Arabidopsis thaliana: one gene and its partner. The protein of the gene in region 1 interacts with the protein of each later gene in a pairwise test. Each region holds a gene or a part of one and is shown in the gene's direction. Other genes may lie near its edges.

What was found. The genes of interacting proteins can lie anywhere in the genome.
Region 2: the proteins of ESL1 (region 1) and AT4G23030 interact in a protein complementation assay, tested with the Arabidopsis thaliana proteins (one large-scale study listed by BioGRID).

Annotation. Positions count from the first base shown.
Region 1 is NC_003070.9:2,865,162-2,871,771, forward strand, and holds ESL1 (ERD (early response to dehydration) six-like 1), read left to right. Parts: upstream 1-2,097; 5' UTR 2,098-2,284; coding exon 2,285-2,431; intron 2,432-2,521; coding exon 2,522-2,584; intron 2,585-2,681; coding exon 2,682-2,771; intron 2,772-2,849; coding exon 2,850-2,975; intron 2,976-3,069; coding exon 3,070-3,135; intron 3,136-3,236; coding exon 3,237-3,312; intron 3,313-3,407; coding exon 3,408-3,472; intron 3,473-3,554; coding exon 3,555-3,647; intron 3,648-3,742; coding exon 3,743-3,823; intron 3,824-3,916; coding exon 3,917-4,001; intron 4,002-4,089; coding exon 4,090-4,133; intron 4,134-4,216; coding exon 4,217-4,279; intron 4,280-4,353; coding exon 4,354-4,434; intron 4,435-4,552; coding exon 4,553-4,606; intron 4,607-4,698; coding exon 4,699-4,758; intron 4,759-4,852; coding exon 4,853-4,967; coding exon of another isoform or gene 4,968-5,029; exon of another isoform or gene 5,030-5,069; intron 5,070-5,074; coding exon 5,075-5,199; 3' UTR 5,200-5,495; downstream 5,496-6,610. UniProt on the Arabidopsis thaliana protein: Sugar transporter. Transports monosaccharides across the vacuolar membrane independently from a proton gradient.
Region 2 is NC_003075.7:12,070,369-12,075,708, forward strand, and holds AT4G23030 (MATE efflux family protein), read left to right. Parts: upstream 1-2,391; 5' UTR 2,392-2,488; coding exon 2,489-3,997; 3' UTR 3,998-4,212; downstream 4,213-5,340. Other genes in the region: AT4G23040 (Ubiquitin-like superfamily protein), read right to left, coding at 5,304-5,340.

The DNA of each region.
Region 1 (6,610 bases):
GTCAAGGAACAAGCCTAATAATTATGGTTGATATTTTTGATGTAATTGACATCGTAAGTATGTAATACGTCGTCCTCCAGTAAAAGTGTTGAATGGTGAACGACAATTGTAGAGCGATAACCTCATTTTTTTTAGGTAAATTTGTTTTTTAATCCATCATATCAATTCTTTCAAAGAAAAAATGAACCAACCATTTGTATAACGTGCGTTCAACCTGTTACCTCTACATGCAGCATAAAATTTGTGATAGTGACGAATAACGTTGATTACTCTTTGTACTTCCTTGATTTTAGTGAATGTAATGTTGCTCTATCGAGGTGGAGCCTCGTAACATTGGTAAGGCTACAAAAATGAACATCGCTCTCTCTCTTCTTTAAGCATTCCTAAATCGTGTTTTTGTTTTTCTTTTTGGCAGCATCTTTTATTTTGTTTAAACGCCTAAAACTGCCTTTGATCTTTTTTCCTTTTTATTGATAGAATGAGATAGGACAACAAATACCTTTTTTGCCGGGAAAATTCAAAGGTTGTTGATGATTCCTTGTGTCCGCAACTAGAAAGAGAAAAGTCTGTCGTATCAAATTAGATATTGACAAAAATGTCAAAATATATGAAGAAGTGTGAGGGGAAACCGTTGATTGAACGTAAGACATTTGAAAAATGGATATGTAGTAGTTTCTAGATTTGCTTACAAGGAATGTTGAGTTGTATCATTTTCTCTAACGCAATAGCTAACGTGCACGACTTTTTTTTTTTTATGTAAACTTCAAACAAACCACGATCAACGCGTTTACTATTTATTGCATGGAAACTATAGCAAGTGTGACAACTCATATCAATTTGTGATGAATTGATTAACTACGTAGGTAGTATAATATTTGTAAGTTGGTTATTCACGTAAGAAATATTGTATTTTACTCTTATCCAGATTATTTAAGAACTCGTTTTTCAATATAATGTTTGACATTTTATACTCGAGTTAATAAACAAATTAGCTTTACATTGACAAAATTCTGTTGTATATTATTTATAATTAATCTTGACTATGGGTAATTAAATAATATTTTTTTGGAAAAAAATACATTGGATTTTCTCAAATGATCACACTTCTATTAAAACCAAAATAGTACGTATACGCTCTAGACGATTCTAAATAGATGATTAATTTGGCTCGATTCATTAATTCAAAAAATAATAATATTTAGTGTTTTAAATTAGAATTAAAATATTAAATAATTATCGGATATTTCAGTGTTTTAAATTATTGAGGATGATTTTTGTTTAGTAATGACGTCAGATTGTCTAAGGAATAGTTTGGGAAAAAAATCTGAATCAAATATGACTAACAAATGGTTATTGGTTATTGAACTGGACCATAACAAAAAGACACACACACAAAAAAAAAAACTTTTTTTATCTGGTTTGCTCCATGGATAAGAATATAGTAGCTAGGATATCCTGATCTTTAGATAACGGTAGAACATGTGGCATGTGTTTATTGTTTATTTTTATTTTATTTTGAGAACAAAATAGTTACATTGTTTGGTTATATATAAAAAAAAAACAGACCAAAAAGACAAAACCAAAGCTTAAACAAAAAAAGAAAAGAAAAACTTAATTAGACCGGTTAACACTAAACTGGTTTATGTAAAACGGATTCATAAATGTATCTAGACATTCACTTACATAAAATTCATCACAAAATTTCACCCAATTACGGTTTTGATTCGGTATAGGGACCACCTTCAAAATTACCCAATAAATAAAGAGTGGATAACAACTAGCATAAAATAATCAAAGCATCCACTAAGACACAAAACACAATTTCATAAAGATGATGATGAATCACATAACTTTAAATAAATATTCTTTCAAAAAGGCAAAACTTTTAAATAAATATCATTCGCCTGTCGGCCAAGAAAAAAAAAAAGTAAACAAAAATAAATATCATACGTATTGACAACAAAAAATTCATACGCCAGTCCAATTACAAATTACACAATATTTAAAAATTTAAATAAGGAAAACAGAAGAAGATACAATTTCAAATTAAAAAACAAAATACGTGTATATAAAATTGAATAAAACCCCAACAGAAACGTGACACAAAAGAAAAGATTGGGGAAGCTGACCTCTGCCTTTCCTCCTCCATTAATCAAGGAATATAAATCAGCTTTAAACTCAGTCCTCTTATGGAAGACAAAAAAGCAAATATTTATTCGTAAATATAACTTCAGAACCCTTTCAACAAAACTCTCTCTGTTCTTTCTCCGTGGAGAAGTTAAAGATGACGATGTCGGAGAACTCAAGAAACTTGGAAGCTGGTTTGCTACTGAGGAAGAACCAAAACGACATCAACGAATGTCGTATCACTGCTGTTGTACTTTTCAGTACTTTCGTTTCTGTTTGTGGCTCTTTCTGCTTCGGTTGTGCGGTTAGTCATCAAATCACTCATCTTTTTTTTAAAACAATTTCTCTGTTTGTTTTGCTCTGTGATTTGAAAGTTTGGGGTTGGATTTTACAGGCAGGTTATTCATCAGTTGCTCAAACAGGGATCATAAATGATTTAGGTCTCTCTGTTGCACAAGTAAGAAGCAACCCTCTCTCTTTTCTTGAATCTTTACTCAAAAAGTGCTAGTTTTGCTTAAATTACTCTGTTTTTTTGTTTTTGTTTACTACTTCAGTACTCCATGTTTGGTTCAATCATGACTTTTGGAGGAATGATTGGTGCCATCTTCAGCGGGAAAGTTGCAGATCTCATGGGTCGAAAAGGGGTAAATTTCCTGACAATTTGAAATTCATACAAACATATGTTTCAAGATCATGTACTGATGAATTTTTCTCTTAAACAGACTATGTGGTTTGCTCAAATTTTCTGCATCTTCGGTTGGGTTGCAGTAGCATTAGCAAAAGACTCCATGTGGCTTGATATTGGAAGACTATCCACAGGATTTGCAGTTGGTTTATTAAGCTATGTGGTAATAATTCTTTTACTTTCTTTTTTTCCATTTATTTTGTGTATTATATACTTATTTATTTTTACTGACTTTGTGTTAACTCTGTTGCCTTCAGATACCAGTTTACATTGCAGAAATAACACCAAAACATGTTCGAGGAGCGTTTGTATTTGCTAATCAGGTAAACTAAAGAATAATTAGAGAATAAATTCTTATAACCATAAAATAAAAAAGATATATATTATACTAATGTTCTTAAAATTTGTTCAAATGTCGTTACAGCTGATGCAGAGTTGTGGATTGTCTTTATTCTACGTCATTGGAAATTTTGTTCATTGGCGTAACTTGGCCTTAATCGGTAAGCTTCTTCCTAATCCTTTTTTTCTTTCTAGCAGGTTAGTTATGAAATTTTCATCAAGAAGTGATTTAAGTTTATCGGTTTCTGTCTCTCAGGTCTCATTCCATGTGCGTTGCAAGTTGTGACTTTGTTCTTTATTCCAGAGTCCCCTAGACTACTGGTACGTTTAGCCCTTTTTAAGTTTTGATCTTTTTTAAAAAAAGTGTGAAGTAAAACTCAATATGGTTTACAATGGTGTATAGGGAAAATGGGGACATGAAAAAGAATGTAGAGCTTCATTGCAAAGTCTTCGCGGAGATGATGCAGATATCTCTGAAGAAGCCAACACTATCAAAGTATTGCAACTTTTCACACATCTCTCTGTTTTTAAATTGTGTTGTTTTCAATAAAACATGACTAATGAACAAATCATTGGAAATGTCAACTATAGGAAACCATGATCTTGTTTGATGAAGGACCAAAATCGCGGGTTATGGATTTGTTTCAGAGAAGATATGCTCCATCTGTTGTTGTAAGTTTATTCTCAAACGTTTTGTGACAAAAAAAGTTGATTTTCTCTTGTACCGTTATACTTACTCTCTGAAGTTTGTGACATTTTGTTCAGATTGGTGTGGGACTAATGCTTCTACAACAACTCTCTGGAAGCTCAGGACTTATGTACTATGTCGGTAGCGTATTTGATAAAGGAGGTAAATAGATAAACAAACTCTGTTTCGCATGTTACGATAATTTACTGTCTTCATTTGGGAGTAACAAATATTTTCTTACTAATGGCAGGGTTTCCAAGCAGCATTGGCTCAATGATTCTTGCAGTGATCATGGTATGTCTTTGTACGTAGTTTCATTTATTCGTGAAAAATCTTGCCAAGAAGTACACTTATGCTCATGTGTTCTGCTTTTGTAGATACCAAAAGCTCTATTGGGTCTGATTTTGGTTGAGAAAATGGGACGAAGACCACTTCTATTGGTAAGATTTTGCTATCTGATCTTTTGGTCAAATATCAAATGAAGCAACAAAATTTAGCATATATCTTTTAACAGATGAATGATCTTTATTTACAGGCCTCTACCGGTGGAATGTGCTTTTTCAGCTTGCTCCTCAGTTTTTCCTTCTGCTTTCGGGTAATTAACATTAACGATTCGCTTTCTAACCAAAGATATATACAAACTTTTTTTGCTGCTGTTTATTGGAGATTCTTACCAGTTATACTAAAATTTTTCTACTTTTGTTCTTGGACAGTCATATGGCATGCTTGATGAGCTCACTCCGATTTTCACATGTATCGGTGTAGTGGTACGTTTAAAGTCATTTCTTAGACATAATAAACAAGCAACTTAAAGTATAGCTCTTGTATAACTTGATCTGAATTTGACATCATATTACAGGGTTTCATCTCTTCATTTGCCGTAGGCATGGGAGGCTTACCATGGATCATCATGTCTGAGGTAAACAAACATGAACATTAACATTAACTCCTCAAAAACCGACATATATATATTTTTTCCAGCTCTAAAAAATGTTACATTTTTTATTTTGCAGATATTCCCAATGAATGTTAAAGTTTCTGCTGGGACTCTGGTTACCTTAGCCAACTGGTCCTTTGGTTGGATTGTTGCTTTCGCCTACAACTTCATGCTAGAGTGGAACGCATCAGGTATAAATACATACTACTATATAATATACTATAGAGTCATTAAACTCTCAAAAAAAAATTAGATCTTTAATCTGATTTAATTTTTGAAATATATTAATCTGTTTCAGGAACGTTCTTGATCTTCTTTACTATATGTGGTGCGGGTATAGTCTTTATTTATGCGATGGTACCCGAAACTAAAGGAAGAACATTGGAAGATATACAAGCTTCTCTTACAGATTTTCTACAATGAGATCAAGTTTGACTTGTTTAAAGTTATTCATTTTTTCTTAGATTACAATTGGGGGGAGGTTTATAGTTTTTTGTTGTAATTGTTACCTCATTTGATGTGCAATTGAGAAAGAGATCACTTGAACATAAGGTTTAGATATCTCTCTGTCTCAGTAAATTAGCCCAATGTATGTATAGTATAGTCCCAGTTTTACACCCAAAAAAAAGAAATATAAAATTGAACTTTAAGGTATTGGCTTTTTGCTTTCATTGTATATTTAACATTTTTTTTTTTTACTTTTACTAGTTGCTAATGCTATTAATCAATCTACCAGTTCTCTGAAACCTGTAGACCCACAGTTTCTACTTTCGGACTTATTTGTTCTGTATGTGTTCCACATTTCCGGCCTCATTCCTAAAAGTTGAATTGATTTGTGAGATATTTCCTTTTCAAAAATCATTGTTCTTTTTTATATTTTCTCGATAGCATAGGGTTTTCAGATACGGATAGTGATAGGGCAACAAATAAAACTAGGTTAATTCTTATCCTCTCTAAAAGTTAGTAAAGAATAAAGACAATTTATTTCCTTTTAAGGTTCCGAAAATGAGGTTTTCTAATTCTCTCCCTAGACGTAATTAAGCTATCGCTGTGCCAACCAGATTTGTGGTAGGTTACGTGCATCTGTTGATCTATTTGCATACATCATAAAGATCAATCCTTTAATTGTTTAACCACCTTTCTGATATTTCAATTATCTTGACTTTTTTTTTCTTTGTTCGTTAAAACTATTGAATTTTTAGTCATTTAGTAAATATATTGCAAGTGCTATCCATAAAGATGTTCTTTAAATCTGATTGCGAACTAAAATATCTTAGTTGACAACTTGCACGTATCAGACATGATTTGTGGAATCACTTTAGTATTTTTCATTAATCAGAAAGGAACAAAGAGATCATGTGGAAATGCTCTCATGATTTACGTTTTCTCTTTTTTTTTTTTTTTTTTTTCCTTACTTTCGTCGATTTACTTCTATTTTAAAATTGGAAAGTGATTCTAGAAATCGCTAATCGACTACACAATGTCGGACGGTCCTAATCGTTGATTGGTCTATGCTTCTTTTCATATGTAAATATTTCGTGGATGATAAAAATAAGGGATTAAGTAAAAACCTTAACTCCATTATTTTATTTTTCTTACATTCCACTATGTTACTTACGTTCCATTTTTAGGAGAAGTTTGAAGAATAACCCAAGTTAAATGCGATTTCATACGAACTAACAAAACTAGTTCATTGAGATAAAATTCAATTGATGATGAAAATCAAACTAAAAAAAACGAAGCTAAGACTGAAGCATAAAAGAGGGTTTTTCAATGTAAATATAATTATTTTTGTTTGTAATTGTCTACAATATGAACTATACAAATTTTAATT
Region 2 (5,340 bases), on another chromosome or scaffold:
TTAAGACTAAAGAAAGTCATTAGAATCCTATCAAATGATTCAAAAGGCATGTAAGCCTTTTTTGGGTTTATGTTAAATATATTCCAAACCAAATAGCATCCACACAGATGATTGTTTCAATGTTTGCAAACTTAAGACTTAAAAGATATACCAAATGAAGCACGAGCATTTAAGTAATTTTTTTATAAGATAATACGATGATTGATGTCTTACTGTCTTAGATCCCACGACAGGTTCTATATACATATATAGACGTTAAGTGTATTAAATTAAGCTATTGAATAGTATAGAGTACTTTATTTACTCTTAGCTTATCGGATAATGGTTAATCTCATATAAACAGAAGTTATCAAGCGACAGGACACAAAGGTTTGTTTAGTTAAAGTTACATGCATGAGAATGAATAAATTAGACTATTAGGATTCCTCCTATTACTTAGGATCTTTATGGGGTTGATTCATTCTATGCCAAGGATATTATAGATTTTTGAACATTTTTGACTATATGACATCTTTTGTCTCACAAGATATTGTTGTTTAATTACTTTGATCATATGAAGATATTGTTTCTAGAATGCATATGGATGAACAACCATTAAGTATATGCGGTAATACTGATTATAGGAAAATACGTTATAGACAGTGTGATGAGAATTAGGAACACAATTGTGTTAATGAAAAAAATTTGTTAATTTTAACCAAAACACTATTAGATTCCTCGATAACCTTGCCCTTTTTCCTTGTCAAGATTACCTTAACCTAATTTTAAGTCGACGTAAATTAATTTTCACATAATTTGTTAATGATATTTGATATTCAAGATACAATGAAAAAATACTCTGAAATTTCACATAAATAAAACATAATCAAAACATAATAAACACTTGACAACAATTTTAGTCCAAAAGGAAATCAATTCTCTTTCGTTCATATACAAAGTAACAGTAAGTTGTAACTTAGAAAATTGATCGAAAATTTGACTTGGAAACCCTAATCATTTCTAAAAATATAAATATAAAATCTCTGAAATACGTAAATTATAATTTTTTTATCATGTTATTTATATTTGTTTGTTACTTCTATATTTACATTTGTATTTATTTTTATTTCATATAGTTTATATATATATATTTTTTTCTATTTACAGTTGTTAATTTTTTTTTTTGTTATAATATAATAAACGATCGACATAGCTCGTGATAAGATAATGTTATTTTTGTTCCCCATCATCCTTAAGCTATATTAATGGTCCACATTCTATAGAGGTGAAGCATGTGACATCGTATTATATCTATGCACAAACAATAAATTCTTATCCCAAAATTAATAAACACTAATAAAAAATATTCTCTTTAAACTAATTATTATTTTCTGTTAAGTTCTCTTGAAACTAATTATGAAAGCAAGCCTTTTTTTTTGCCAAACTATAATTTTCCCCTCGATTATATGATCAATAGAGTGGTCCAATAAATTGTTTTGAAGTTTAGAAATAAGCATTAAGTAGGTATAATATTCTATATAATTCTTCTCACTTTATTGCAAGCATCAACATCGTCCCAAGTTTTATATAAAATGGTCCATAAAATTTTAAATCTTAGTATTTCGTAACAACTTGATACCAACCTCTCTGTATAGCTGCTTAATTTTCTGGTATATGATCTGTGTCCATCCCTACTAGCTTACTACTTTACTACTACTTCGAGCAGTTACTTATTTGATTTTGTAAAGAATCCATTTCGTTTTTTTTTTTTGGCACATGAAAATTACCCATAATGGTCAAATTCAATACTATTAAAAGTGAGGAAGAAACGACATGAGTCAATTTGTTACACTGGTTTATTATTTAAAGAATAGAAATCCCAAAAACGTCTCAAGTTTCAACTCTTTCTATGCTGAGTTGTATTGTATGTATGTATCTAAGTATCTAACTATAAATTAAACGAAATACAGACAATAAATTAATCGTGAATAAAAAAAATTCTTAATAAACATCCAAATATCAATATTTTCTTGGAAACTTATCTCCAAATGGAAACAAAAATCCTAATAAACGTAACCATGATTAAAAGAAAAGAGTTGCATAAACATCCAAAGAAAAACAATACTATTATATATATAAAAAATCCAAATCAACATGAAGAAAGTAAAATGATTCCAAATAGACATCCAAAAATCATATTTTCTTTAAACTTTTTTTATTGGTTTTCCACAAATGAAAATAGAATAAAATAGTGTCTCTGAATTAAGACGGAGTCGTAACAAATGACATAATGGCCGGTCAAATAAACCGCCAAAATTGTTCTGTTATAATTAAGACTAATTTCTGAGTCAAAAAACTTCTCTTGTTCCCTTAAGGGCCTTAATCACTATTAACCTTAACTAGTGACTTAATCTCAAACTTATAACACACCTTTCACACATCAACAACACCTTCTTCATCATCTCCTTTCTCTGTCTCTGTCTCTCTCTTCTCTCTCAAACCTGTAATCATGGCAGCTCCTTTGTTGATGATCATCAAGAACCAAACAGATCACCGACAAGATCCGAATCCGAACCCGACCCACCTTTCCTCTTCGATCCAAGAAGCCAAATCAATCGCCAAAATATCTCTCCCACTGATCTTAACCGGTTTACTTCTCTACTCTCGCTCAATGATCTCAATGCTCTTCCTCGGCCGTCTCAACGATCTCTCTGCTCTTTCCGGTGGCTCACTCGCCCTCGGCTTCGCTAACATCACGGGTTACTCTCTCCTCTCCGGTCTCTCTATCGGCATGGAACCCATCTGCGTTCAAGCCTTTGGCGCCAAAAGATTCAAACTTTTAGGCCTTGCTTTGCAAAGAACCACACTTTTGCTTCTCCTCTGTTCTCTTCCCATATCTATCCTCTGGCTCAACATCAAGAAGATCCTTCTCTTCTTCGGACAAGACGAAGAAATCTCAAACCAAGCTGAGATCTTTATCCTCTTCTCTCTCCCTGATCTGATCCTCCAATCTTTTTTACATCCTATCCGTATCTACCTCCGATCTCAATCGATCACTCTTCCTCTAACCTACTCTGCTTTCTTCGCAGTATTACTCCACATTCCGATTAACTACCTTCTCGTTTCTTCTCTCGGTCTCGGCCTTAAAGGAGTCGCCTTGGGAGCAATCTGGACTAATGTCAATCTCCTAGGGTTTCTAATCATCTACATAGTGTTTTCCGGTGTTTACCAGAAGACTTGGGGAGGATTCTCAATGGATTGCTTTAAAGGATGGAGATCTCTAATGAAACTAGCCATCCCTAGCTGCGTCTCGGTTTGTTTAGAGTGGTGGTGGTATGAAATCATGATTCTTCTATGTGGATTGTTACTTAACCCGCAAGCAACCGTGGCATCTATGGGAATCTTGATCCAAACCACCGCTTTGATCTACATTTTCCCTTCCTCTCTGAGTATCAGCGTATCGACACGTGTCGGGAATGAATTAGGTGCGAATCAGCCTGATAAAGCGAGGATAGCTGCGAGAACCGGACTTAGTTTAAGCCTTGGTTTAGGTTTATTGGCAATGTTTTTCGCTTTGATGGTGAGGAATTGCTGGGCAAGATTGTTCACAGATGAGGAAGAGATTGTGAAGTTGACTTCAATGGTTTTACCGATCATCGGGCTTTGCGAGCTAGGAAACTGTCCTCAGACCACATTGTGTGGAGTGTTGAGAGGAAGTGCGAGACCTAAGTTAGGAGCAAACATAAACTTGTGTTGTTTCTACTTTGTGGGAATGCCAGTGGCTGTATGGTTAAGTTTCTTTAGCGGGTTTGACTTCAAAGGACTATGGCTCGGTCTATTTGCAGCACAAGGCTCGTGCCTGATTTCGATGCTGGTCGTGTTGGCTAGGACTGATTGGGAAGTTGAGGTTCATAGAGCAAAAGAACTCATGACTAGATCATGTGATGGTGATGAAGATGATGGTAATACACCGTTTTTATTGGATTCTTTGGATATAGAAGAAAATCTTGTCTTCTAGTTTTGATTTATTGGCACTAACGAGATTCGTTTCATTGTACACTCTTCTAATTCATTATTCTAGGAGGAAACATTTGATTGTTGGATTTTCAAATTTATGTTGTGAGATATATATTGGATTTTTTTTAAAATGTAATGTTGTTGATTTGATTTGATTGTAAAAATATACTTTATTAGTATTAAACCTCATGTCATTTCAAAAAAAATATCATGGGAGTGATTTGTTGTCATGAGAATGACTTTAGAAATTGAATGTGTAAACATAAAACTATCCTTTTCAAGTGGTTCGAGTGTAATATATATGAATCTGGTTAAGCAATTAAAGGACAAGATAGAAGTTGGTTTCGTTGCCGGGAAATTCTTATGCAACAAGAAAATAAAAATAATTATTAAACACCATGTTTAGTGGTCCTCCATAGGCGCGTGACGTTTAAGGCGCGTGTAAGTAACGTAACGGAAAGAGTTGTGAAACTTTGACGACGGCGAGAAAATACTAATGTCTCCGTCAAGGTCGTCGTTTGTGACAGCCGACGCCGTGAATGACCCGGTCTCTTTGTCGTCTTCTTCGTTTACTCTCTTTTCTTCCACTAACCCGACCCGTTTCAGTGTATGTTTTTCTTTGGGGTGTTAAATTCACATGAGGTGACAAAATACCAAATTAGAGTTCAAATCTGAATAACAAAATTGTGTCCACTTGGTTATAACTTATTATAAGAATATGATATTTTGCATTATAGACTATTAAAAATGTAACAAACTTCATGGTGTGGTGGCAAGGAACAAAAAAGGCCCATAAGGTGAAACATGAAGAAAGGAGAATTAGTTATGAATTTGCCACTAAAATCAAAGCTATTTTCCTCAACTGTCCCAACTTGCTTTTATATAACATTAGCTTCTAATGTCCTTCATTCTCCATCACCTCACTTCCTCTTTATACTCTCCCTTCAATTATTGTCTACATTTAGATTTTTAACACAACTGAATGACACTATAATGATTTAGAAACCAAATTTGAACTTCTATACCCAAACTTTTAACTTTGAATATGATGAGAATATCATATCATTTTGCAAATCTGGTAAATTTGATATCCACGATCACAGTACTATCATATGAGATGCGTGAAGAAGGAATAGCACATCCAACAAACCAAGATGTATATCGGTGGAGAAAAAAAAATTACTTTCAAAAGCCAGCCTTGGATTAAATAGACCAATAAATGTTTAGGGAGTAACAAATTCTACGAAGAAAAAGAAGAAGACATATAAAAGAATAAATTATGTAACCCCAATAGAATAATACCAATTCTAGATCAGCTCCAAGAACAATGCTTCTTGTTTGCTC